Linked DNA regions of Macaca fascicularis. The protein of the gene in region 3 purifies or fractionates together with the protein of the main gene of each other region. This does not show direct contact. Links are inferred from orthologs where the notes say so. Each region holds a gene or a part of one and is shown on either strand. Other genes may lie near its edges.

What was found.
Region 1: the proteins of CSNK2B (region 3) and KAT6A purify together in Homo sapiens (affinity purification with mass spectrometry; 3 studies listed by BioGRID and IntAct, with this or other methods). This does not show direct contact. The link is inferred for Macaca fascicularis from reciprocal best matches to the Homo sapiens genes CSNK2B and KAT6A.
Region 2: the proteins of CSNK2B (region 3) and PHRF1 purify together in Homo sapiens (affinity purification with mass spectrometry; 3 studies listed by BioGRID and IntAct, with this or other methods). This does not show direct contact. The link is inferred for Macaca fascicularis from reciprocal best matches to the Homo sapiens genes CSNK2B and PHRF1.
Region 4: the proteins of CSNK2B (region 3) and RPS6KA3 purify together in Homo sapiens (affinity purification with mass spectrometry; 5 studies listed by BioGRID and IntAct, with this or other methods). This does not show direct contact. The link is inferred for Macaca fascicularis from reciprocal best matches to the Homo sapiens genes CSNK2B and RPS6KA3.
Region 5: the proteins of CSNK2B (region 3) and ARK2N purify together in Homo sapiens (co-immunoprecipitation; 3 studies listed by BioGRID and IntAct, with this or other methods). This does not show direct contact. The link is inferred for Macaca fascicularis from reciprocal best matches to the Homo sapiens genes CSNK2B and ARK2N.
Region 6: the proteins of CSNK2B (region 3) and CCNL1 purify together in Homo sapiens (co-immunoprecipitation; 3 studies listed by BioGRID and IntAct, with this or other methods). This does not show direct contact. The link is inferred for Macaca fascicularis from reciprocal best matches to the Homo sapiens genes CSNK2B and CCNL1.
Region 7: the proteins of CSNK2B (region 3) and GPATCH2L purify together in Homo sapiens (co-immunoprecipitation; 3 studies listed by BioGRID and IntAct, with this or other methods). This does not show direct contact. The link is inferred for Macaca fascicularis from reciprocal best matches to the Homo sapiens genes CSNK2B and GPATCH2L.

What each region holds. Positions count from the first base shown.
Region 1 is NC_088382.1:45,478,714-45,482,213, forward strand, and holds part of KAT6A (histone acetyltransferase KAT6A), read right to left. Parts: intron 2,378-3,500; coding exon 2,058-2,377; intron 1-2,057. UniProt on the Homo sapiens protein: Histone acetyltransferase that acetylates lysine residues in histone H3 and histone H4 (in vitro). Component of the MOZ/MORF complex which has a histone H3 acetyltransferase activity. May act as a transcriptional coactivator for RUNX1 and RUNX2.
Region 2 is NC_088388.1:473,208-477,267, forward strand, and holds the start of PHRF1 (PHD and RING finger domain-containing protein 1), read left to right. Parts: upstream 1-1,260; 5' UTR 1,261-1,427; intron 1,428-4,060.
Region 3 is NC_088378.1:140,054,121-140,058,104, forward strand, and holds the start of CSNK2B (casein kinase II subunit beta), read right to left. Parts: upstream 2,801-3,984; 5' UTR 2,698-2,800; intron 2,115-2,697; 5' UTR 2,104-2,114; coding exon 2,032-2,103; intron 1,084-2,031; coding exon 981-1,083; intron 418-980; coding exon 302-417; intron 1-301. UniProt on the Homo sapiens protein: Regulatory subunit of casein kinase II/CK2.
Region 4 is NC_088395.1:20,038,703-20,042,202, forward strand, and holds part of RPS6KA3 (ribosomal protein S6 kinase alpha-3), read right to left. Parts: intron 2,604-3,500; coding exon 2,479-2,603; intron 248-2,478; coding exon 122-247; intron 1-121. UniProt on the Homo sapiens protein: Serine/threonine-protein kinase that acts downstream of ERK (MAPK1/ERK2 and MAPK3/ERK1) signaling and mediates mitogenic and stress-induced activation of the transcription factors CREB1, ETV1/ER81 and NR4A1/NUR77, regulates translation through RPS6 and EIF4B phosphorylation, and mediates cellular proliferation, survival, and differentiation by modulating mTOR signaling and repressing pro-apoptotic function of BAD and DAPK1.
Region 5 is NC_088392.1:43,648,450-43,652,738, reverse strand, and holds the start of ARK2N (protein ARK2N), read left to right. Parts: upstream 1-1,489; 5' UTR 1,490-1,702; intron 1,703-2,053; exon of another isoform or gene 2,054-2,319; intron 2,320-4,289. UniProt on the Homo sapiens protein: AMPK substrate important for exercise capacity and skeletal muscle function.
Region 6 is NC_088376.1:60,118,865-60,122,364, reverse strand, and holds part of CCNL1 (cyclin-L1), read left to right. Parts: intron 1-500; coding exon 501-621; intron 622-1,419; coding exon 1,420-1,484; intron 1,485-1,734; exon of another isoform or gene 1,735-3,287; coding exon 3,288-3,387; intron 3,388-3,499; coding exon 3,500-3,500. UniProt on the Homo sapiens protein: Involved in pre-mRNA splicing. Functions in association with cyclin-dependent kinases (CDKs). Inhibited by the CDK-specific inhibitor CDKN1A/p21. May play a role in the regulation of RNA polymerase II (pol II).
Region 7 is NC_088381.1:144,121,254-144,125,228, reverse strand, and holds the start of GPATCH2L (G patch domain-containing protein 2-like), read right to left. Parts: upstream 2,801-3,975; 5' UTR 2,792-2,800; coding exon 2,714-2,791; exon of another isoform or gene 2,602-2,713; intron 2,172-2,601; coding exon 2,122-2,171; exon of another isoform or gene 1,930-2,121; intron 334-1,929; coding exon 1-333.

The DNA.
Region 1 (3,500 bases), on a different chromosome or scaffold from region 3:
GAAGAATATAGCATTAAATTGACTCCTAGAAGAATACTACTCAATAAATAATATTTATGTATTAAATCTGCCTTATAGTGGAAATCCTGAATTGTCTTAAAGCTTCCTAAAAATATTATATAACTAAATTTAAATTTCATTAAAAGATTTTAATACACAGAAAGGCAGACAGAAAAATGGTATAAGGATTATAAATTTCATTTTGAAACAGTATAAATTTGACACTTTTAGTATAGGTTTAATGTATTAATGTTCAAAAAAACCTCTTGAGCTACCTTAACTGATGTCAGAAGTGCTAACTCCCATCACATTCTGGGTGCCCTTTTAAAGCACAAACTCCACAAACCTGAGGATAACAGATGATAATCATCTGGGTAAATATGAAAACGTATGATAATTATCTACAAAATGATGGAACTTCCTCAAGTGGGCAAAAAACCAGTGAAAAGAGTTATTTGGGAATTATGCAGATCATTATCCTTTGCAGTTGAAGATGACACTGCTGATGGGCTCATTTGCTCTTTTTATGAGTATGGCTGAAAAGACCAATTGGTGACAGTTCTTCTCAAGTCAACTGCCCATATAGGCCATCTATTATTAACCTAACACAAGAAGAAAAAGGTCAAGGACTCACTGTTGACAACATTCCCAAACTGGAAGAAAAAAGTACAGTCTAAAGGTACTATGTGACTTTAACGCCCCCTAGTGCATGATGCAGGCACCTCTCTAATACAGCATTCGGTAGTTAAACTTTATAATTCATAAAGAAAATGACAGAGCCTATTAAAGCAAATGCTCACACCACTGCCTAAAATTCAATATTGGTTCTCCATATACTTGATACATTTGCTCTAACAATTTCTATTTCAAAAGCTTTCTAGTAATTTTTCTAATAAACCATCTCCAGTACAAAAGGTTAATTCAAAAATGTCTTTCATTAGGATTTACTTTGAGATTCTTTCCAAGTTTAAACGGATTGCATATTTTCTTAGATAAACATGCTCAGACCCAGAGCTTATCTGCAGGCTGATAAAGACATGAAGAGTCTTGAATGCTTAAAGAGTAATTAGCTGATCATCACTATGGTGAAAGACCAATCAATAAAGCATACAAAGGGGACTCTAACAATTACAAGGACTTTCTCTCCTGCACTGGACAATCAACTAGTTATGAAAGCAGGAATGAGAGCAGTGAATACACTCTCACTCACCGAGGAGACATTCAGGGAGGAAACCAAGGTCAGGGAATTCTCCTGCAGTAGATGAGACACTACAACTCTGGCCTTTGTGATCCAAAGGAGTTCATTCTCATTCTACTTTCTTCAAGCCCTTTCTACTTCCTTCACAGGGTTAGTTTCTCTAAATTCAAGGCTCAGCAATAAGGCTATTTTAAGCTTTAATTTATTAGACAGTTAATCAAATTCTTATCCTCTGACTTGAATGATCTGCTACATTATTAAGTCCTCTCCATAGATGTTTTCTACTTTGAAAACTAGGGAACTTAGCCTGATACACAAGCAGCCTGGAGCTGTCGTTCTGTCTCTCCCTTTTTAAGTGCAATCCATGACTTACAACTATATTTGTCAAGATCTGAAGTAGAAAAGTCAATGACCTCATCACATCTGCATATATTTTGGTCTTTTCTTTATGCTTAGATAAACAGCATTTTACCCAGCTCTATTCTTTCCAGTTTCCTTCCTGGAATAAGCAGGCATCACAACATTCACCATATGATTTCTTCAGTAATTTATGAAATGTAAAGTAATCCTCAAGGTTACACCCCAAGTTTCTGTAGGCAGATTCTCTGCGCTTCTATAAAAAAGCAGCTTCCTGTTGCCTAAGAGTTCCTGTTGTCCCATTCTGCAACTTTATCTCCATCCTCTAAATTTCTGCCATAGTTACTACCTCAGTATCATCTATATGTTTTTTTAATGTGTTCTTATATTATATAACCAATTTTTTATAATCAAATATAAATCTATTACAGATAATTAGTGTTATCCCAAATAATACATGTACAGAATACTATTTGTTTCTAAGTTTGTTCTAAACTCTTACCTGTGGGCCAATCTGAAGTGCTTGATTTCCTGTTGCCCCTCTTTCTGATTCGATATTGCTCAGAGTAGTCCACCACTTCCCCACGAGCTTTCCGACCATCAGGGGAAGGGGTAAAAAATTTGGTAAGGCCATCAATGAGCCCTTTGGTTTTCTTGTTGAACTTCAAGGAGACACTGCTATCTCTGCAGAAGTCCAAGCCATCTATCCGTTCTAAATATCCTTCTTCTGATGATGATGATGCTGATTGGCTGGAAAGAGTCATTTTTCGTTTCCTACCCCTTCCAGGGCCAGTTCGAACTTTGCTGAAGGGACCTTTTGATCTAAATAATTAAACAGGAGAAAGAGTAACTATTAAAAAAGATACTTATAGGGTTCCTATTTAATACACAACATACAATTAGTAAGTAACCTATACCTTTATTAAAATCTGTATTTTTAAGAATATTCTGCAAACTATAAATAGTACTCTATGAATGAAAATTAAATATTAGAAACATCTATTTCCAGGAAGCCTACTTATAGTGCAAAGAATTATAGGCCAGGAGTCAGAAGACTTGTTCTAGTCATAACTCTCTCTCTTACTAGCTGTACAACTTGGACAAATCACATTTTTTCTAAACATACGTCTTCATCTGTAAAATGAGAACTGGACTAAGAACAACTAAGATCCTTCCAGGTATAAAGTTCTACTACACTGTGATCTCTGCACCAACTCAAAGTTATACTTTTATCTCTAAAACACAAGGCCAGGTTATTCTTTGAAGGCCGGGAATCAAAAGATCATTTTATAGGAAAATCAAAGCTGGATTTAAGATTTTGAATACAGACTACAATACCGGTTCTGCACACTTCAGGTTGCTAATGCCCATTCATTTCAGTTATATCACCTTCAAGATAGTCTTACGTGTAAAAAAGGTAAGTAAAACTTTTGAGAATAAAGGGAGGTTGACGAGCCTGAAGATATTTACATATTTATCAAAGGTGAGTTACTACAGATATTTTTAAAAAGACAAAACTAGCTTCTGAATCTTGCCCCACCTCCTCCAGACATAGCCCAGCTTTCTAGTCCACAATTTCTGATTTCTGCTAATAGATGAAAACATTCAAATTATTTTACATTCCAAGAACACAAAAATGGGACTTAGCCATCACCTCAACAGGAAGAACCTATCCAGTGGTTTGTACACCTAATAGATGTTAACAACTGAGACAAGATCAGGAGAGGGACATGTGAAATGTCACAGTAACAACTTTTTCTTTCCTGTTTTTATATAAGAGAAGCAACATAAGGCAATGGTTAAGAGTCAGATTTTGGTGCCAGACTACTTGGATTTTCATCCCAGTTCAACATGTACTATGCCTTAGTTTCTTCCTTTGAAAAACGAAAGTTAACAACAGCAGCTATATTTCACTGGGTTGCTGGGAGAATTAAACAATTCAATG
Region 2 (4,060 bases), on a different chromosome or scaffold from region 3:
CTGCTCCTCGGGAGCTGCTGGTAGTTGTCGTAATAAACACGGAACCCACGATGAAACGTGAAGACGCTCCTCAGTGAGCATCCTTGGGCAGTGCACAACCTCCCCAGCCATGCCAGCCCGCGCTCAGGCCTCCCCCGTCTTCCCCATCTCTCCGGTGTCGGTTCTCAAGCTCGTCCTTCCCCGCCTCATTCCTCCAAAAGTCCTCAGCAAATCCTGGCAACTCCGCCTTCAGCATCTACCGGGAGCGGGCACTTCCCACACCCGGGCCCCAGCCCCGGCAGCCCCTGCACCGGGCGCCCGCGGGTCTCTGGCGCCCGCTCTGGACGCCTCCCCAGCGCTCCCCGCAGCGGCCAGGGGGTCTCGCGAGCCTGCGCCTGCTCGGGACCCCCAGAGCCTCCCCGGGTGCGCTGCAGCCACGCGGGCCTGCGTCCCGAGGCCCGTACGGCTTCTGCGCGACATCCTCAGGGCCACCCGGCGCCAAATCCACACGGGACGGCACGGCCGCGTCCTGCCGAGCCCGCCTAGTTCGCCAGCGCGCACGTTTCACCGCGCCTGCTGCGGGACGGACAGACGTGTGGCTAGGTTGGAATAGCCGGCTCACTGAAGGCTCCCGCAGTGTTTGGTCAGAGGAGCGCGGCGCTAGTAGCAGCGGACGCCAGGACAGCCCTCCCCAGGGCTCCGGCCGCGCGCGGGCCTGCGAAGGGGCTGCGGGCAGGGGGGCGGGGTTGCAGTGCGGGGGCGGGGCTGCGAGGGTGGGGCGGGGCTGCGGAGCAGCGGGCGCCAGACGGGGCTGCGAGGGTGGGGGCGGGGCCGTGGGGCTGCGGGCCCGAGGCGGGGCGGGGCTGCGGGCGTGGGGGCGGAGCTGCGGGCGCGGGGTGGGGCGGGGCTGAGGGTGTGGGGGCGGGGCTACGTGCGTGGGGGCGGGGTGGGGCTGCGGGCCCGAGGAGACACAGGGCTGCGGGCGTGGGGGCGGAGCTGACGTACAGGAAGCAGCTCCCATTCGCTCTGGGCGGTGGGCGGAGATCCGGGCGGTACCAGCTGTCCCGGCCGCGGGGGGGGAGGGCCTCGACCAGCCCACGGTCGGGGGTTAAACAGTACGAGCTTTTCCAGGATACTGATCTCTCCGGGCAGCAGTCCTGCATTAGACAGTGTTTCCAAGGTGGAAGGGAAACCGTTTAAACGCCTCGAGATCCCTGGCTGCAGGGAGTGGTACCTTCCTCATTTCAGCCATTTATTTCCCGCTCTGGTCCCAGTGGTTCCAGTCAACGGGCGGGACGGGACGCAGGGGCCCGGAAGAGGCGCCGTGCACTTCCGGGTCGAAGAGCGCGCGGCGGCGGCGGCTGCGGCCGGGCCGGGCCTAGTAGCGACTCTCGGTCGGGCAGCGGCGGCGAGCCCTCAGGAGCGGCTGCGGGACGCGAGGTTTCCGGGTACGTGCGGCGGCCGCGCCGGCCCTGGGGTCCCTGCTCCTCCGGGCCGCGGGCCGCCTGTGGGCGCCACGCGCTTTGTCTGCGGCCTGCACCGTGGGGCGAGGCCTGCTCCGCGCTGGCCGCGGGCCGGGAGGGCGGGCGGGCGCGCGCGCTGGGAGGCCCCGCCGAGACTGGGAGGCCCGTGGCCTGCGGGCGGACGTCCGGGGCTTGCGGGGACGCGGCGGGAGCCCACCTGCCTCGCCCCGTGGCACCCACGCGCGTGCCCCCTGCGAGTCCGCCCTGCCGCGTTTGGAAGAGCGCTGTGACTTCGCTGCCTTGTTGCCAGCCTCTGTGCGTGGTTGCCTTCATGGGCTTCGAGCCTTGTCTGCATGTCCACAGGCCCGTGTGGCTGGCGGTTTTCCTATTCCTTAACTCTTGCAGTTCTCACAACAGCCCCTCTGGAGTAGGCATTGTTCCCGTTTTACCGATGAGGGGATTGGAGCCCAGAAAGGCTAAGTAACTGGCCCGCGCCACACAGTCGGGGAGGGGCAGAGCCGGCGGCCGGGTCCGCGCCAGCCCCGACTCCGACCGTGCTCTTTTTGACGCTGCTTGTGTTACCCCTTCTTTGGAGTTTCCGCGCTTTACTTGTTTCGACAACAGCAGAACAGCAGTCAGCTGGGTGAACCACATTGTGGCCTGTGGTCACTGGACAGGCTCTGAAGCTGAGCTGAGGTTTGACTTCGGGGTTGGCATACTTGACCTCTCTCCTGGACCACCCGGTTTTCTTTCTTATGGGAAGAATGTTAAGTCAGAGTACTAGTGGATGGATGACGCCTCAGCATCATGGCTACGACAAGCCTGGCCGTGGCCCTCAGCAGCGCTGTGTTCATCTCAGGCCCGCGGAGACCTTTGTTCATACCTGACTTTTTGACTATCATTGCAGTTTACAGTTTTGAGGTCTCCTAGCTGATACAGCAAATGGTGAATACAAGAATAAAAGTTGGCCTGAGTTGAGATGTTGGACTTGGCTGCAGGCTTGTTCAGTGCCTGAGATGGGCACTCAGGTTCGAGGACTGGCATGGAAAGGGATTGCAGGCACCCCGGACACCAAAGGCCCTTTTCATTCCTCAGTAACAATTGGGACTGCCAGTGCGTTGGTTCCCCTGAATTCGAAGAGAGAGAGAAATAGCGTTTCCGGTTTTCTTTTCCCCTTTAATCCCCCAATCTGGAGTCTAAGCAGGAGAACCACAGTGGTCCCTCCACCCCAGAGCTCTGCTAGCCCAGCCGAAGGTGGCCAACAGCTGGGAAGGGCTGTGGTCTTTTCTGCGGAAATGGCTTCCTGGCCTGTGGCCTGGGACACGGCAGAGGTGGATATGGGGAAGGGAAGATGTGGAGCTGGGGCTGCTGGTGCAACCAGGAGGTCCTAAACTAGGGGTTCCCATTAACCCGCATCCTGACTGCGGGGTTCTTGGTGGTCCCAAAATGTCTTGTTTCTGGTGGTTGTGCTGGAGGGTATCTGCAGAGACTTCCTGGGTTATTTTCTCGTCTTTGGCAAAATAACCCCTAGTTACTGTTGTGGGATACCCAGGAAAGGATGTTGTTCAGCCTCACATAACCTGAACCTTCCTGCTGCTGTGGTGGAGGATTGTAAGAGGCCCATGGAGGCTTCCCTCACCAGCTGTGGTAAAGTTCAAAGGCCTCAGGACTTAGCCCCACAGGTACACGGACTCGCAGAGTTCAGCCTCTTTCCTGAGCTGGTATTTCTGGCGAGCTCCTATGTGCCAAACCCCACATGGCCTCACTGGTCTCTTCTGGCAGCCCTGGGGCAGGCCCAGCCATTGCCTGTCGCCCTTCCTAACCCTTGGAGGTGGTCCTCAATCTCAGTGCATCAAGGGAGAAGCCAGGAGCTATTTGTTCACATATTATGGCTCACTGCAGCCTCAACCTCCTGAAGTGAAGTGATCTTTGCACCTCAGACTCCCAAGTAGCTGAGACTACAGGCGGTTTCCACCACACCTAGCTGGTTTTTAAATTTTTTTGTAGAGACAGGGTTTCGCCATGTTGCCCAGGCTGGTCTCCTAACTCGCAGGCTCAAGTGATCTGCCTGCCTCGGCCTCCCAAAGTGCTTGGATTACAGGCGTGAGCCACCGCACCGGCTAATTCACTTTTTTTTTTTTTTTTTTTTTTAAAGGAGACAGAGTGTCGCTCTGTCACCCAGGCTGGAGTGTAGTGGCGCGATCTCAGCTCACTGCAACCTCTGCCTGCCAGGTTTAAGCAATTCTCCTGCCTCAGCCTCCCGAGTGGCTGGGACTCAGGCGCATGCCACCACGCCCAGTTCATTTTTTGTATTTTGGTAGAGATGGGGTTTCATTGTGTTGCCTAGGCTGGTCTCGAACTCCTGAGCTCAGGCAATCTGCCCGTCTTGGCCTCCGAAAGTGTTAGGATGACAGGCGTGAGCCACCGCGCCCGGCTGCCGATTCACTTTTTTTTTTTGAGACGGGAGTCTCGCTGTGTCGCCCGGGCTGGAGTGCAGTGGTATGATCTCCACTCACTGCAAGCTCCACCTCCCAGGTTCATGCCATTCTCCTGCCTCAGCCTCCCGAGTAGCTGGGACTACAGGCACCTGCCACCGCGCCCGGCTAGTTTTTTGTATT
Region 3 (3,984 bases):
CAAACTCCTATGTTGCCTTTCTTCCAGTTAGGCAGGCTACAAACCATCAGAGCCATTTGTTGTTTGTTCCCTGAGGAAGAGGCAGTCTATCACAACTCTCTGTTCAAGGACTGTCTCCCTCCCTGAAAATTATCCCTTCAGGATGACCCCCAATCAGAATTCAATTCCCAGGCCCAAGCCTGGGGTTCTTCTCCTCTTCTCAGCCAGTTTCCTTAAACAAGGCTTAAACATGACTTCTTGCTGCAGGAACCTGTGTCCCTTACTGCTCAGAAGGAGGCAATTAGGAGCAGAGAGGCCTCACCATCTGGGCAATGCCACGGTTGGTAAGGATGTAGCGGGCGTGGATCAATCCATAAAGCATCTCGGCAGCCTGCTCAATCAGGTCACTCTGGTTGGGGTTGTCTTCCAGTTCTTCATCTGAAACACAGCCCGGCCAAATGCAACCACTTGTTTTTCAGCTTTCCTAGGTGCCCTGCCCATATCCAGGGGGTGCGGGCTATTCAGTTCGCCTGGCACCTACTTTTGGGCCTTACCCCATCCAACATCTGGGCATGTGACCCAGAAACCTGGGCTTCTGACCCTTGCGCCAACCCAAGACAGCTCTGTCTTCTCTTCACACCTCTTTAGCCTCCGCTCCCCACTCTCCCTCCCAGCTCCCTCCCCGATACATAACTGCAACAATGTCAATGCAAAAGATGAAACTCTAGACTGGAAGGTGCAAAGCAGGAGAAATAGCAAACCAGACCCATGAGGAAACATATTTTGGAAAACATCTGAATTGTGGATTTAGAAAACATGGGAACAAGTGATATACGTCACAAAACTAGACACAGTCAGGTGGAGGATCAAAATAAAGCATGAATTTGGGGTTAAAGAAATCAGAGAACCAAAGGAAATTTCAAAATTCAAGTAAGTGAATATAGATTTGAAGAGAAAAAAAGTGCATGCACACACACAAAACAACCCTGAGGGTGCCTCACCAGGCTCCAGGTCCAAGATCATGTCTAGAGCTTGTCGATAGTGAGGAACCTGCTCATTGAGTCCAGTAAGATTAAATTTGTCCTGGATGTAGTCTTCATCCACCTGTTGGGACATGGAAGCCAAGAGGGAACCCATATCAAAATCCCCATCTTTGACCTGGGCAAAATGCTCTAACTGATGCCTTATCATCAACACAACTGCATCTGTTCCGCTTGTTTCTCACTCCCAACTCAGCAGAAGTACTTGCGTCTCTCCCTAGTTCACCTATACTCCCTCCCATAAAGCTTTGGCTTTTCTTTTCTAAGGATAAGCAGGTACAGCAATCTTTTTCTTAGACATTCTTTTCAAGATCTCTGTCCCTACTCCTGTACTCCATCTCTAGGAACCAGTTTTGTCCTCTCAGCTGGCTGAGGAGGATGGAAGCTGAACGGCATGGTTTCTGAACAAAACATTTCAATACGTAGCATTTCAATTTTCCTAACAGCCAGCTGAGACAGGTACTAGCAGTACAACTTTAGTAATAAAAGATACAGGCTGGGCGCAATGGCTTATGCCTGTAATCCCAGCACTTTGGGAGGCTGAGGCGGGCAGATCACCTGAGGTCTGGAGTTTGAGACCAGCCTGGCCAACATGGTGAAACCCTGTCTCTACTAAAAATCCAAAAATTAGCCGGGCGTGGTGGCGGGTACTTGTAATCCCAGCTACTTGGGTGGCTGGAGCAGGAGAATCGCTTGAACCTGGGGGGCAGAGGTCGCAGTGAGCCGAGATCGCACCACTACACTCCAGCCTGGGCGACACAGTGAGACCCAGTCTCAAAAAAAAGATAAAGAAAAAGACACAAATTGCCTGCTGGAGGGTGGCAGAGTCGAAACTTGGGCCCCAGTTTTGCCACTTTAGCACAGGTTCGTCGGGGGTTATTGAGGGGACTCTTCGTTGATGGGAAGTTTTCAAGTAGTATGTAAGAGAACAGTGTAGAAGTGGAATACGTGAAGGAACATCTGGTGGGAAGATATGTGAAGCCAGCAAGTAGGGAGGTCGAAGAGAACTCACTTCACAGAAGAATTCATTGCCACGGAGCCCACAGAACCAGGAAATCCAGGACACCTCCTCTGAGCTGCTCATCTTCACGTCAGCTGAAAAAAAGAGTGTCAGTAAAGCTCAAGTTCTCCTTCCCTGCCTCGGGTATCCTCCCTCCTCCCACATTAGAACCACCCTTTCTTAAAGGATCCCAAACTCTGAAGCACTCCTCTCCAACTCCTCCAATTTACATCTCAGTTCCCTTTTCTTTGACGTTAAACATTCTTTGGGGTCCCACCACTTGAAAGAAGCCAACAGATACTTTGACCCACCAGCCCGACCCACGTCCCTGGAGCTCCCGAAAGCCAGGGCCCTCTCTTCTCTGTGTCAACTCCGGCAGGGACCTCGACTCAGGCTCCGTACCAATGCAAGTCTCTGCACGACCCCGGCGCCTTTCCCAAGGATTTCCAAGTTTATCACTCTCAAGCAAGAATCGGGCGCCTCCTTTTCTCAAGGGTTGGGGGCGACTGTCAGGTCCCTTTCACCGGATTCCACACATCCCCCCTCCGCTCCTCAAGCCACCTCTCCCTCCTTGCCGGACCTGGTTGCTTCCTCCCCCCGCCCCCATATCAAAGTGCGGAGACCCATGTGCGGCTCCCAGCGACAAGCGACTAGGAGCAGCGAAGACCTCAGACTCACCAGCTGGACGGGGACCAGGACTGGGGTGGGGTAGGGAAGTTGCTACTTCGAAGGAACGGCGGCGACCGCTACAGCGCAGGCCGCGGACCCGACCGCGGCAGGCGAAGTGGGGTGGGGGGAGTGGAAATTGGGGAGGGTGGGGAAGAGGGCAACACGCAAGCGCCAAGGGTCAGGTGCCGCGGTGGATGCCGGGACGCGGAGTCCCCGGTAGAGAGAGAAACCGGCTAAGTGAGGGAAAGCGAACTACCAATCCCAGGATGACCCGCGCACGACCTGGCTGTCACGAAGCCCCGGAGGAGGACGCTTGCGGGCGGGGCGCAACGAGAAGCCACCGGAAGCGGAAACCAGGTATGGCGTTCGGGGCCTGGGAGCCTGGGCAATACAGTTGTGTGCTCACTGGGCGAAGAAGCTGACTTAGGGCGGGGAAAGGAGGGAGCCAGGCTGGACCCCTCCTCGCAGCTCTCCTCACAGTTGCCCTCTAGTCCCGACGCGGTGCTGCTTCCCTGGGGACTGGCCTATCCTTGGCCAATGCGCTGGGTCCTTATTGCCTGTTGGGCCCCTAGTGCGAGTCAGTCCCGCCAGAGACCCTTGACGGGCCTTCTGTTTTACTCCGGGCTCCGGCCTCATGAGGCGAGAGGTGCGGCTTGGCTCCGTGCGTAGGGACTTGGGTTGGGAGGGCTGGGCTGGGCTGGGCTGGGCTGGGCTGGGCTGGGCTGGGCTGGGCTGGGTGAGAACCAGAACGGCCCAGTGCGCTAACCTGAGGTGGTGCCAGCCATTCTGCTCGTCCCCTTGCACTTCTCCATTTCCCCTTAGTCTCTAAGTGTGACCTTCGAACCCTGGTCAGAGTAATGGTGAGGGGCAGGCGTGACGTTATTTCATTACACGGCTTCTCGGCATTCCACAGGTTTCCCTCCGCCTCCTGAGGGCCTTTCCTAACCCAGAGAGTGGATTCCTAGCTCCAGAAAATGGGCTTGGAGCGGGGGCCACGTAGAGGAAGGCGAAGGGCATTGTGGGGGCGTTATGTAAAAGTAGGACCCCAACCGACAGATCCTAGCGCTCGCGCCACCTGGGCGCGCGGAGCTTTGCTCGTTTACTATTGGAAAAGTTCCAGCGCGGGAAACTGAACCGGGAGCTTTGCGCACGCCTGAGCCATCAAGTAATGTGGGTGGTGGTTTTTGTTGTTGTTGTCGCCACGCATGCGTCTCCGTGCCGTGTGGCTATTTGATTGTGTCAACTCTGCTGATCAGAATAGCGCCATTTTGCGTTACGGAAGCTACACGGCAACAC
Region 4 (3,500 bases), on a different chromosome or scaffold from region 3:
ATATTTAACTTTTTCATAACAAAAGGCACTTTTAACAACAAGAGGAGTGTAATTTTTAACTGGTACTGACATGCATGAACAAGAACTGTACAAATTGCATTTTAACTAAAAAAATATTTACCTTCACTGCAAACTCCATGTTTGTAGCTTTATGTATACATCTCTTGCAAACAGAGTAGGAGCCAACTCCAATATCTTCTTTTACTTCATATCCATCAGTAAACTGAATACTGTTCCTGTGTAACTGCTACAAAAAATTATAAATTGGTGAAGAGTCCCATAATGCCTTTAGTGCATTTTATAATAGGGAAGTATGTTCCTCAGCATGCATTGTTGAAGCTCTACATATAAATGAATAAGAATAAAAATACATCTTTATAGTACTTATTCTTCTACAAACAAGTGATTTTGGAAGTGTTTACAATGAAATGTACAGCAAGAAATATGACTTTAAAAGCGGAGCTACTTGAAATGGAGCCTGTATCTTTGTCTGTGATTCAGCCTTATTCCACTCCCCAATTGGCTATAGGTTTTCAGGCACCTTTGCAAATGTGAAATTTGAAACCTATGGTATAGAAGGAAAGGATTTAGGAGGATTCAGAATTAGAATATCTGAATTCTTGTCTCAGATGCACCACTTACAGGCTATGTAACTTTGAGCCTGTATTTTCTCAGAGGGTAATGGTGAAGATTAAATAAAAATAATGTATTTGCAAGCAATACCTGTTACCGACATTTTGGACTTTCAGTAGCCACACCCTCCTTTCTTCATCCTGAAGTCATAGCCTTACACAACTTCTGCTAAAGAAGCTGGTCATGGGTTAGGGACTAATAACATACAGTAGATGATGAACAGCAACTTATTGATTCCATAAACAGGCTGAGGAAAGTTGTGTTGCCCTTGGCTATACTGATATGAGACATCCATGCCTATGAGCTTTGTGTATGTTAAAATTTGAATTCTGTAGAATATATATGTTTGTGGTTTCTATGTTAGGTACAGAATTTATAATTTAAAAACTTGCCATACATTCACGTGCTTGCATAGTAAATGGCACAGACTATTTCAACACGAGCTCTGCTTAGAAACCAGTGTTTTAATTGTTTTTCTACAAAATGGAAAACAGGATAACTCATGAAAAAACTTTAGAGCAAAAGCAACTTAAACATCAAGCAAATCCAAGTACAAATGATATCCTAAAAACAATCCAGTGCTTCAAAAGATATATCTAGTTCCCTTTGATTAGAAAGATGACTTAAGATTTGAGTTCATTTTTATTTCTTGTATCTTTCTAAGGCAAAGGTTGCCAAACTATGGCCAGTGAGCCAAATCTGATTCATTGCCCGTGTGTGTAAATAAAGTTTTATTGGCACACAGCCATGCCCACTTGTTTATGTATTGTCTGTGGCTGTTTTGAGATACATAGCAGAGTTGAGTAGTTGTGACAGAGCCCATATAGCCCACAAAGCCTCAAGTATTATCTAACACTTCACAGAGAAAGTCTGCCGACTCTTGTTCTAAGACATTGAAGAACCAGAAGACCTTAATTCATCATAGCTGACCTGAAGGAGGCAGAGGGTGAAACAAATTCAGCATGAAAAACATTTTTTAGGCACAGGAGAGGACATAGACAACATCGTCATGTTTATCTCAACTCTTTTAAAATTCTACTTTCTTTTTTTTTTTTTCTGAGACAGAGTCTAGCTCTGTTGCCCAGGCTGGAGTACAGTGGTGGATCTTGGCTCACTGCAACCTCTGCCTCTTGGATTCAAGCGATTCTCCTGCCTCGGCCTCCAGAGTAGCTGGGATTATAGGCATGCATCACCATGTCCAGCTAATTTTTGTATTTTTAGTAGGGACAGGGTTTCACTGTGTTGGACAGGCTGGTCTCGAACTCCTAACCTCGTGATCTGCCTGCCTCGGCCTCCCAAAGTGCTGGGATTACAAGCTTGAGCTACCGTGCCTGGCCTAAAACTCAAGTCACATAGGTATCTAGGATTTGGGTTCTTGCAACCTTTTCAATGACATATGAAAAAAATTGCTAAGAGTAAAGTTAATGATATAAAATGTATTTTATTTTATTTTTTGAGACAGTTTCAACTCTGTCACCCAGGCTGGAGTGCAGTGGTGCGACCTCCGCTTACTGCAACCTCTGCCTCCAAATCAAGTGATTCTTGTGCCTCAGCCTCCTGAATACCTGGAATTACAGGCACGCGCCACCATGCCCAACTCATTTTTGTATTTTTAGTAGAGATAGGGGTTTCACCATGTTGGCCAGGCTGGTCTTGAACTTCTGACCTCAAGTGATCCACCTGCCTCGGCCTCCCAAAGTGCTGGGATTACGGGTGTGAGCCACAGTGCCCGGTCTAAAATGTATTTTAAATTGCTCACTTGAAGTCAGTAGAAAAAAATCTATTCACAGAATGAACTATATCTTACAACATTCCAAATCTAAAATTATTTAGACATCCACTCACCTGAACAATTGAATGTACACCAACTGTCTGCATAGCCTGGCTTTCATCATCTGAGGTAATAGCAACAAAACTAAACCCCCGAAAAAGCTGATGTGCATTAGCACTAGGTGGAATGCCAGGTGAATCTGAAAAGAGTAAGACGTGACAAAGAAGATTCATTTGAAAGGAAATTGAGTGAAAAACTGTTGACACTACGACCTTTTTCACTTATTCTGGAATTCTACTTCTCAGGTACACAGTATATACCTCTTGCTTTCCGGGATACCTCTGAGGCACTGTATCTGATCTGTTCTGATTGTGTATTGCCATTACAACACCAACATCCTAGTCCCTCGGAGCCTAGAAAATAGCTAGTTCATTTGAAGAATATAATAAATCAATGAATTATAGGGTTAATGGTATTCAAAATTAATGCTGTCCCATTGAATTTCCTGAAATGATAGAAATTTTCTTTATCTTTACAGTCTAATATGATAGCCACTAGCTACATGCAGCTTCTCAACATTTGAAATGTGCCTAGTGTGACTGAGAAACTACATTTTAAATTTTAATTAATTTAAATTTAATTAGCCACATGTGGCTACTAGCTACCATATTAGAAACTGCAGCCCTCAATAATAACCTATTTGGGGGACAATGGGGGAGATACAAGGTTGATCTACAGCAAATTTGGGAGATTTGAAGATAGCATAGAGAGTTATCCAGGAAAATATTTTCTTTTTTTCCTTTTGAGACAGTCTTGCTCTGTCACCCAGGCTGGAGTGCAGTGGCACAATTTTGATGCACTGCAACCTCCACCTCCCAGGTTCAAGTGATTCTCGTGCCTTAGCCACCCAAGTAGCCGGGATTACAGGCACATGCCACCAAACCCAGTTAATTTTGGTATTTTTAGTAGAGACTGGGTTTCACTATGTTGGCCAGACTGGTCTCGAACTCCTGGCTTCAAGCGATCTGCTCGCCTCAGCCTCCCAAAGTGCTGGGATTACAGGTGTGAGCAACTACGCCCAGAGTCTGGAAAAGAT
Region 5 (4,289 bases), on a different chromosome or scaffold from region 3:
AAAATATGCAAAGGCCATTCGCTGCAGGAAACTGACTTATTGGTATTAAACAGGAGAAGGGGCTGGGTGTGGTGGCTTACACTTGTAATCCTAGCACTTTGGGAGGCTGAGGCGGGTGGAGAACCTGAGGTCAGGAGTTCGAGACTAGCCTGGCCAACATGGTGAAACCCTGTCTCTACTAAAAAATATTAAAAATTAGCCGGGCGTGGTGGCATGCGCCTGTAATCCCAGCTACTCGGGAGGCTGAGGCAGGAGAATCGCTTGAACTGGGGGGGCAGAGGTTGCAGTGAGCCAAGATGGCGCCACTACACTCCAGTCTGGGTGACAGAGCAAGACTCTGTCTCAAGAAAAAAACAAAACAAAACAGAACAAAAAACAAAGAAACAACAATAACAACAAAAAACAGGAGAAGGACCCAAGATGGTATCTCAGTAGTCAGGGCAGTATTCCCACAGCATTGGTTAGATCAGACTGTCATGGAATCTTTTAAAAACTCAGTGTGTTAGTCCACATTCACTCATTCATTTTCGGACAGTTGTGATCTTAGTAGTGATTTTTTCTTTGCTTTTCTTTTTTTCCTGCAAGAGGCTGGGCTCTTGTCACTACCCCACAACCTCTCAAATCCCTTGAGGACTCAGGTAGCAGAAAGTAAATACATGAATGAACGAGTGAAATAACATATACAGATAAACTACTTAGCTAGCACACACTACGTTCTCAGTGATTCTCAATGAGGCAGTGGTGGCTGTGGTTAAGAAGTAAGCTCTGCCTGTGTTGTAATCCAACACTGCCACTTACTTGGATGTGTCATCTTGGGCAGGTCACTCTGTGCCTCAGTTTCCACCTTTGCAACTTGGGGCTAGTAATGCCATCCAACTCATAGGGTTGTTATGAGTTGTAAAGAGGATTCATTGAATTTAACCCATTTAAATGCAAAGTGCCTGGTATGTAATAGGCATTCAATAAAAGTTATTTTCTTTTCATAATTATTCTTGTAGTTAGGGATGAAAAACTCGCACTCCTGTAGGCAGTCAGAAAAAATGAGTGAAGTGGGGGAACTAATGGGCCTGGTCTGAAGGGGGATACTGATGTTTAGGGGAGTACGGACTCAGTAGTGTAAGATTTTCAGAATCTCCTCTTGACGGGTCTCATCCGAGGTTCCAGCACAGCTCTGTAAAGGTGAAAGCTTTATTATTATTATTTTTCTTCTCAAAACACTGCAGTGCTTTGGGTGAGCGCGGGTCCTTGGCCAGATCTTGAGTCGTGAGATGCGTCTTCAGCATCTCCTGCTTCTCCTTGGGAAGCCCTCTACCCGCCAGTTGGCCCGCGCCCTCCTCCCCGTTCTCGGGGTTCGATCCACCTCCTTTCCCCTACCCTCCTAAGGGCTGACTGCAAATCGGAGGGCGACTGCAGAGGCGGAATTCGGGGCAGAGCGGCGTCTCCCCTGCGGGCCCCGTCCCACCAGCAGGTGGCGGTCGATCTGCAAGGCCTGCAAGGTGCCCCGGCAGAAACTTGAGCAGATGTTGGTGCCGCTGCCCAAGAAGACCTCAGCCTAGTCTCCCCGAGCCCGGCTGAGTCTCCGCGAGCCCAGCTGTCCGCATCCGCGAAAAAGCGGGGAGAGAAGGGCGCGGGCCCTCCGGAGGCTGGAGCGACTCAAAGATTCAGACACCGCGAGCTGCTTTCGGAAGGGCTTCAGGAGGGGGTGAGTACTGAGCAGCGCACAGAAAAGGGAGCGCTGTCCTTTGTTGAAGGCATTGTCCTTGTCTTGCATTGAGTGGCTTTCACACACCCCGGGAAAGACATTTCTGGAAGGAGACAGTCTCAACAGAAGGAGGGAGCGCGGGAAAGAAGCCCGGGGAGCTGGCGCCTTTACGCCCCGCGGTCTGCAGCGGGAGGAGCGCGGGTTCCATCGCGCCAGATGGCGCTGTCTGGCTTTTCTCGGGCCTCGGGCGCCAGTCTCCAGAGGTCCCCGGCGCAGCAGCCTCTCTAGCCGGCCGACGCAGGCTCTGTGTTTCCGGGCGGAAGTGAGGCGCCGAGCGGAACGGCCTCTGGTGACATTTTCTTGGGGGCGGCGCGGACGACTGAAGGGACTTGGTGGTAGAGGCTGCGGAGGCGGCGAGGTTCACTTTGATCCCGGCAGGGGCTCTGACCGCGACCCTCTGCTCGCCGCCGGCGCTTGTTCCGAGGAGGAGAAGGCGGCGGTGGCCGTCGCGTCCTGAGTCACCGCAGCGGGGAGAGTCCCAGCCGGGGGGTCGGTGCGTGCCCCGACGGGGCGCGCGCGGAGCGAGCGAGGAGGCACGGAGTCGCAGCGGAGCGCAGGTGAGGCGGGAAGGGGCGCAGGGCCGCGGCCTGGCTACTGGTCGAGTTGCGGAGCCCGGGCTGCGTCCCAGGGATGCGTCGGGGCGAGTCGGAGGGCTGCGGGCCGCGGTGAGGGCTCTGCGGCGTCCGGACGCTGGGATCCTGGCGGGCCCGGCTGGTGGGCGCCGGGAACTCGCAGCCTGGACTGGCGTCTGACGCGGGGGCATCGCACCGCTCCAACCTCCTTGCTCGTCAGCCGCTGGTGACCCTAGCGTCCTCCCGGCCCGGCGGAGTTGGCTACGGCACCCCAAGCCCCCAGACGCTGGGGCCGGGTCGAGGCAAGTCCTTTTCCGTGGGGTACTAAGGAGAGGCTGGAGGTGCCGCAGTCCCCGGGCTGCGGGGGGAAGCGGCTTCACGGCGTTGGAGTTGTCTTCACGCAACTTTCTGGCTCCTAGGCCCGCCTGGGAAGCAGTGGCGGCAACTCCGCCAGCTCCGCGAGCCGGGGGTCTGGCGCCGATACCTGCCCCTGCAGTGGAGAGCTCCAGGGCTGCGGCCGCAGTGGCCTTGGAGGAGGGAGAAAAGGCTTTCTTAGGCTTGGCGCCGCCTGCCTCTCGGCGTTTCCACTACCTTCGGTCGGCAGGCGCCTCCGGTCAATGGGAGAGATGTGTCAGTCTCCAAAATTGACCGCTTCTGGGGAGTTCGTCAACTTTATTTCAAAACCGGTGAGGATGTACACTGACGAACCCGGCTTAAAGACTATCGCCTTTACGCAAGCCATTCATTCTCACTTTTAAATTGTCCGCCTACCCCCCACCCCACTCCGTCCCCGGCAGCCCCCATCACAAAATTGATGTTCGCAGGTTGAAGTAGAGAACATCGGTAGGAGCCCTCCCAGATAGATCCTTGAGCAGTTTCGGCTTGGATGGGTTTTTCGTTTTTTGCCTGACCTTTTGCTTTTTGAATCCTCCCACCCAGTAAAATTAAAATCCCACTGATAATACTTCGTCAAGGTTGGACTTCTTAATTACAAATACATCTGCCAATTTTGCTTAGGCTATTATTGTGTAGTATTGGGTACATGCTAACAGTTTGAATCACTCCCTTTCTTCTCTTGGGATATTTTAAGGATGGAAGCTATTAACTTTCTAATGTAGTTTTGCTGATCCTGGCAATCTAGATTCCTCCAGTAATCAGAGCATTGCCTTTTGGTTTAACAAGCATTTTTAGAGGCCTGCAATTGATAGTTACTACCTGATGTCCTGAGGAGTCACATCGCTATTTTATTTATTTATTTATTTATTTGAGACGGAGTCTGCTCTGTAGCCCAGGCTGGAGTTCAGTGGTGTGATCTCTGCTCACTGCAACCTCCGCCTCCCGGGTCCTGGTTCAAGCAATTATCCTGCCTCAGCCTCCCGAGTAGCTGGGATTACGGACACGAGCCACGCCCAGCTAATTTTTGTATTTTTAGTAGAGACGGGGTTTCACCACGTTGGCCAGGCTGCTCTTGAACTCCTGACCTCGTGATCCGCTCTCCTCAGCTTCCCAAAGTGCTGGAATTACAGGCGTGAGCCACCGCGCCCGGCCTGAATCAGATTTCTTAATGGGAAAAATTTTTTTTCTGACACATTTTTGGGAAAATTTTTTTTTCTGACACCTTTTTGTGAAAAATGGGATGGACTGGACATTGGAGCTGGAAACTTTCCCCATTGTTAGAATAAGTTCACAGTGTAGTTGTTACTTACTCACTTTATATTACTTTAACATGCATCTATTTGAGAGTAGCTGTCATAATCTTTGTTTTATGGTTATCATGATTAATTCAAAACCCATATAGTAAAGATAAATTCAGCTTTAGGTTCTAATTTAATGCAGTTCCTTTAGGACTGAGGGCTAATGCATGTCCTTCAAAGGTTTCTTGCTCCTAATGTTAATAGTGACATTGGTACTTTCAGTCTTTTTATTGTATGACTAGTAAATTCTGTGCGCTTGTG
Region 6 (3,500 bases), on a different chromosome or scaffold from region 3:
TTTTTTTAAGCCAGTCAAATAGCAGTGGGGGGATTGTATACCAACTTTAGTGACACTGATTTTAGTAAGTTCTGATAACCCACTACTATCGGACCAGCCTGGAGCACATTACTTTGGCCAGTGGAAAGTCTCTTGGAGAGACTTTGAGGTTTGTGATAACAAATCATGCTATCACTAAAGTTAAATACATATATATATATATATATATATACTCCTAGAATATAAGCAGAATGGAAAAGTTGGCAAGGATGAATTAGAGCATTGGAGTGAATTTTTTTCATTACAGAATTGTTAGTTCCTTTAGGAACTTAGTCTCGTAGATGTATATATTTAATTAGCATAACTTGGACAGCACAAGATTAATGCTTTAACTTGTTTGCAGGAGTTTAAAAAGCTGGTTTCTGTTGCCAATAGTTGGTTGGAAGGGAAAATGGAGATGCCACAAATAAAATTTTTTGGATGTGCAAAACAGTTTTGATTTTATTTCTTACAAACTATAGGACTCCAAGCCCCCTGATCCTTGATCAGAACTACATTAACACCAAAAATCAAGTTATCAAAGCAGAGAGGAGGGTGCTAAAGGAGTTGGGATTTTGTGTTCATGTCAAGCATCCTCATAAGGTGAGTTGTAGAGTACAGAAATTGGGTTCGTAAGTATTAGGACTTTTATAAAAATTCTATTTTATATGAATTTATGTTTCTATCTGAGCATTAACCTTGGTTTTAAAAAGCATTCCTTTAAAGGTTCAGGCTTCATCGAAAAACATTCTTTTGGATGTTGAGATTTATCAGTAAAGTGACAGTCAAAAATGTAGATTCAAATCTTAAATCTTAATTGTGTGCTCATAGAGAAGTTATTTTTGTTTCTGTGGTTAAAGTCCCAGTTTTTCCACCTAGAATACAGAGATGTAAAGTTCCTCATTCCAAGGAATAAATGTGTAGCTACAAAAATGTCTGGCACACTTACTGTCATAGTAGAATGTTCTAAGTGTGTTGGCTGCTCACTGTTAGCATTATCGGAAATTTGTTTCTCCCAACATCTCTTAGCTTTCTCTTACCGCAATATAAGCGGTAGAGTGAGTTACCCAGGTCAGGACTACCTGGGCTAGAAATGTACCTTGGGAAATTAGGTGAAATAATCTAGCACAGTGCCCATCACATAGTAAAGTGCCAATGAAAAATACTCTTTTAGTTTCCTTTTTTTCCTGTACAATTCTGAAATGTACTTCTAAACAGAATTTATATAAAATCTAGTCATATAACAGTTCACAATAGAATCTTACGTACATTTAAATTGGTCTGTATTATCGATGCAGAATTATAACTTGAATCTAACATTTTCAATTACTTTTTTCATTGAACTCTACTCGGAAAGAACTACCAGTATACTAAATTGAGTTTTTTTCCCTTGTCCTTCAGATCATTGTTATGTATTTACAAGTCTTAGAATGTGAACGTAATCAAACCCTGGTTCAAACTGCCTGGTAAGTCACTTTTTTAGATTTCTTTCCTAGCCAGGAAAACAGAAGCAGAAATAAAGTAAGTTTCATTTTCCCTTTCCAAAATAATGAGATAAGTTTGTTTGGGGCTTTTTGTTGTTTTTTGTTTTTGTTTTTTTTTTTAACCAAAAGGTAAATAATGCTTATTTCTGCTTCCTGTTTTCTTGGCTTGACTAATTACTTTTAATGGAGAACTCAATTTAACTTTGTTCTTTTTTCTACTCTTTAATTAAAGGGTAGTCCATGATGGTAAGTCATAGAACTCTGCCCTCTGCACTTCAGCCCATGACCTCAGGATGGCCTGATTGGCTACCCTGCTCTCCAGCCAATCCAGTGCAAGCTCTCATCCGAGATTCACTGAAGTGGTCCATATCCATCTGGCAGCATCTTCTAGTTCTGTCGGGGTGTCAAAAGGATTTGTATATTTGCTTCTAGAAGTAACTATTTGACATGCCTATGTATTTAATGTATACTTGTAACTATCAAAATGAATAGTTCATTTTTGATAGATTTGTTGTCCAGCCATTATGAATTAAATGGTTTCTTATTAGGAGTTTGACTAAATTTTTATTTTTAGTATGTATAGCGTGAATTCTACCAAAGGAGACTACAAACTTGCAGCTTAAAATGGGAACCAGTTCCCACACTGGCTTAATTTATATAACTGCTATAACTGCTTGGCTGTATTGCGGGTAATATTAGAAGCAAGAAGCACTTCATTTTTAAAAGAGATGTTACTATTATATTGCTTAAATGCCTTAGCACTTGGACTTTTTGAGATGCAGATGTGTGATTTAGAGTGCTGGCTTATTTAAAGGTCAAGCCAAGGAGTTTGTGGATCAGCCACAACTACTGTTTCCTAAGACTATTGATGTGAAGGACTTAGTGAAGTAATTTTTATATTTTGGACTTCCCAGCAAGATGTCCTTTTAATGACTGCCATGCTTCTTTTGGACTCAGTAAATATTTGTAATGTTAGAAAAGTCTCATTACTTTTATAAAATGCATGACATTTTAAGTATGTGTTGCATAAAATGGATTATAGCAGTTCTCATGGTTTAGGATTTTTAAGAAATAGTCCATTTAATTTCAGCTTAACCTTTTAAATGACCTGTAAAATTTCTTTAATAGTTTAGGAATGTTGTGGGGAGGGTTCATTAATAAAAGTTCAGCAATTTTTTAACTGAAGTAGTTTATCTCTTTTACCTAGTCACAAAAAAGGTATGTAAACAAGGCCATTATATATGTTTATTGCTCTTTACTTCCCTATCTAGATTTTCTAAATATCTTAATTTCTTAATATAAGTTTAACTTGTTACCTACTGAAAATGCCTTTTTACCCCTGTTAACGGTATTTTGAGCTTTTGAAAAGAACTTGGTTGACACTGCTTTTATTGTGGATAAAGGAGAGATGGTCAGTAATTAATGGCTTGAAGTATTATTGGAGTGGTTTATCATTTCTGAAACTAATCATGTCAGAATTGACTTTGAAAGCATTGCTTTTTACAGAAATATATTAACTTTAGGAGTAATTTCTAGTTGGATTGTAATACGAAATAATTTAAAAGAGCTTCGCTCATATATAGGAAAATTGCAAATGGTCCTACTATTAAATTCTTACTGCTTACTGATTTTTTTGAATTAAGAGTTGTTATATGCTAGAATTTGAGGATGTGAATATAAATAAGAGAAGAAAAAAGAATAAAGTAGATTGAGTCTCCAATTTTATGTAAGCTTCAGAAGAACTGGTTTGTTTACATACAAGCTTATAGTTGAAATATTTTTCAGGAATTACATGAATGACAGTCTTCGAACCAATGTTTTTGTTCGATTTCAACCAGAGACTATAGCATGTGCTTGCATCTACCTTGCAGCTAGAGCACTTCAGGTAGGTGTATATTTCCCATTTTGTTCTGTAGGATAAATCACACAAATTTTCGGTGGTTCCAATACAGATTTAGCAAAAATTTAACCTAAACCATTCTGTTCTTATGGTTTAGA
Region 7 (3,975 bases), on a different chromosome or scaffold from region 3:
TGCTTACTCTTAACAATGGCATTGAGAGCTGGGTGTCGTTTGGCCACCATTGTGTCATCAGAGTCACTAAAATTGGTCACGGGAGCCACTTCTCGACAGTCCTTAGTGGCCTCATCCAGACTTGACTCAGAGGCCTCGCTGTAGCAGCAGGTATGCTCTGCCAGGTGAGTGAAGTCAGAACGACGCTTCCGACCTCGGCGTTTCCGAAGCTGCCTCCTCTGCTGCCGGGGGCTCAGGGCCATCTCCTCCCACAGCTCACCAAGCTTATTCTGCTCAGATGTCTGCTCCAAGGCTGAGGCTAAGTCGTGTACCAGCTCATCCATGAGGCCACATCTGCCAAAAGGAAGTTTGGCGGGGGGTGGGGGGGAGAAAGAAAAGAAAAAGAAAAAGAAAGCCTGAAAAGGATCTGTTGTTTCGGAATAATTTGATGAAACAGATCATGGTAGTCCACAGTACTGCCTGTCTAAATGAAATAAGTCACCTTTCATCTGGCTACACTTAGATTCTGTTCCTACCACTTCCTAAAGCCACTAAAAATAGATGTTTTGTCCCTTGTTAAACGCCTGAAGTCAACATATTCTTAAGCACAAAAACCTACTCACCAGATGACAACTGGGACAGGACCCAAAACAAATTCGGGGGACTAGATCCTTCTCACTTTTCCCCAGTTAAACTTGTCACTGAATTACCTAATGATGAGATCCAGAAAGATTAGAGGCTGTCTCACTAGACAGGAGTAGAAAAACATACAACTTCAAAATCACACTAGAGTTGCAGAAACACAGAGCAGGACACGGTCTCATCGAGGTATTGAGAATGAATGAAAAACTGTTCTTTGGCCTGGGGTCACTGCTGACAATGACCATGGCAGAAAGAAACAGAAAGACAACTTAGTGATACCCTTTAAGGAAGAATGCAGTTTTCATGATCCAAGAAATTGTAGTGGCCAGGTTTGAAGTCAGAATGGAGAAGAGACTAAGTTTGCACCCATTCTGGTACCAACTACCACCTGGAAGCTACCAGGTATAGAACCTTATACAGTAGGTCATATATTTTTGAATAATTAACAATTTTTAAGCCCCTCTCCTACTCTTCAGAAAATAAATGTCCGAATGTCCGTCCTAGTTATGTGCTTCAGTGCCACACAATCACACAAAAATAGGATACAACAGCAGCTGAAATGACAGGGATAGGGTGAAGTTTCTAAGATTTCTGGCTGAACTGCTTTCCAAAATTTCTTATTTTTCTGTTTATCCTCAAACCAAACATCACACTTCAGGAGTCACTTCAGAGGCAAACATTTCAACAAATGAGAGTAGTAGGAACAATCTTCAAAATTCCCTCTTAAGGGGAAATGTTTAATTTGTATAGCAGCTAATTAAATACACATTAAACTTTTAGCACTTTTCCCTTGCCTCTATGCCCAAAGTATTTCAATATCATGTTAAAATTCTATGTGGTGCCGCTCTCTCACCATATTCCCATTCATTCAGTTTTCACTTTGCAAAGGGCTTTCTAAAACCTGTTTTCACGCTGTGCCTATGCCAATGAATTTAAAGACAGGAAAACAGTCCTGGGGCTTATCTGCCACACCTGTAGGAGCAATGGTGACACCTACTTCCAAAACTACCATACAAACGAAGCTTCTCAAAGTGTCCAAAGGCACATACATTTAAACAAGACCAAGTTCTTTTAAGCATTAAGAAGTGATTTATTAACAGCTGTGAAAAGAAGGGGAAAAAATGGAAAAAAAAAAAAAAGTGGATTAAAATGCCATGATTGAGGTTTGGGAGACAACTGTCCCTAAGACCAAAATAAAGAAACAAGTGGGAACAGCATGCCTAAATCTACTTCCCTAATAAAGAATTACTGCTTTAAAAACTCAGGCAACTAAAATACAAAAAAATAATAATAATAACAAATAAAAACCTCAGGCAGAATAGCACAAACTTGAACACGGAACGAAGTCACCAAACAACTGGTAGTCGAATGCTTGTGCAGAATCCTTTCCTGCCTCAAAGCCTGTAATTCGAACAGTGGGTGACAGAAGAACCCTAGGGCTCCCCCCATCTCCAGTCGCGGGTGCACACTCTCGAGAGGACCCGGCGTCCAGGCACGCACCCGGGTAGAGATGAGGCTGAGTCACGCACAGGAAGGAACGGGTAGGGCAGCTGGTGGACAGCAAGTAAGAAGAGAAACAGGAGCAGGGTGGAAGTGAGGGGCGGAGTAGGAGGTGGGAGAGGCAGGAGGCAACTTCTCATTTGGGCTCACCAGGGGCGGGGGTCGGCTCTTCTAGGGCAGAAACTGAAAAAATGCAAGTCGTGGCGACTGAGCTCCCTCCGGGATCGGGGGTCGCAACACGGCCACATATGTGAGAAAAACTGTGTTTCGAAGGACTCTCCACCTCGCCCCGGCCCGTCCCTGAGGGCTGGGGCGACCATGGCTCGGGACACCAAGCCCTCACGCTGCCGCCAGCCCCAGAGAGGCAGAAAGAAGAAAGAGGAAGAGGGGGCTGTGGCCCCGAAGACGGCCCGACCCACATCCCCAGGGATGGTGACAAGGGCCCTGAAAAGCAAGGCCCCACCACCCTCACCCTCCGGCCAGCTGCCGCAGCCCCAAGACGCCCTTAGCCGCTCAGCCGCGGCTTGGCGCTCCGATCCCCTCTGGTACTAGCCCCCAGGACCCCAACACTAAAACCACTCCTCCCCCTCACCAGCTGCCGCAGCCACCTCCAACGGCCGCCGCTTTTTGGGCCGACTCTCACCGCCAGGGCTTCCCTCTCTGACCTCATTTCCGGTCTGGGCCGGAGGGGTGGGGCGGCGGCGAGTGGGAGGGGCTGGCTGCAAGATTGGGCCCCTGACCCATTGCTTCCGCCCGTGGCCACACCCACTTCCGCCCCGTGGTGGGCGGAGCCACAGGAAGCCAGAAGATGGGGCAGGGGACAAGGAGGGGTGCTGAGTAAGGTCTGGCCGGGAAAGGGCGTTTCACGGGTTGAGGTGCCCATGTGGGGAAAGACCCCTGCATGCTGGCCTCATCTTCCTTATGGGCGTCCAGAAATTGGGCGCTAGGCAGGGGTGTCAGCTTCCCCCTTGCTTTCTGACCTTTTTAATGGGCCTATGAAGTTGAAGAGAAAAGGATCTTAATGACGTCTACCCTGTGAGCTGGTACAAACATTGGGAGGGGTGGTTCTTCACTGAGTTACTCAGAACATTACAAATTGCCTTGAGCAATAAAACAAGTGATATTGGATTATAACTCAAAGTATAAAAGAAATATTCATGAGCCCATACCGATATAAATAAGTGATTGAATAAATTAACGAATGAGGAAGAAGAGATAAATCCCCCACAGAAGAATCTCAAATAACTTATGTAGACAGCCATCCTGGAGCATAACTTCCACCTCCTTAAATGTGGGCTGTGCATAGTGACTTCCTTCCCAAAAGTACAACATCTGTAAAGGGGAAAATGAGTGATTTTACAGTGGGGAAACCTGGCAAACAGTAATTCAGCCAGGTGATCAAGACTATGTGCTAAATCATGTTGATAGTATGTGGACTGATATATGATGAGAATGGCACTTTATGCTACTTTCCTAACAAATCTCATAACCCAGTCTAATTATAAGAAACAAATCAGACAAACCCTAATTGAGGGACATTCTGCAGAGTACATGACCAGTATTCTTCAAAATTGTTAAGATCAGCAAAGGTAAGGGAAGTATAAGAAACTCAGAGCCAGGAGAAGCCTGAGGAGGCATGACAATGTAATACGGTATCCTGGGTGTGACACTGCAATTAAAAAAAGAACATTAGGTAAAAATTAAGGAAATCTGGATAAAGTATCAACTTTAGTTAATAATAACGTTATCGGGCCGGGCGAGGCGGCTCATGCCTGTAAACCCAGCACTTTGGGAGGCCAAGTCGGGCAGATCACCTGAGGTCGGGGGATTGAGACCATCCTGGCTAACATGGTG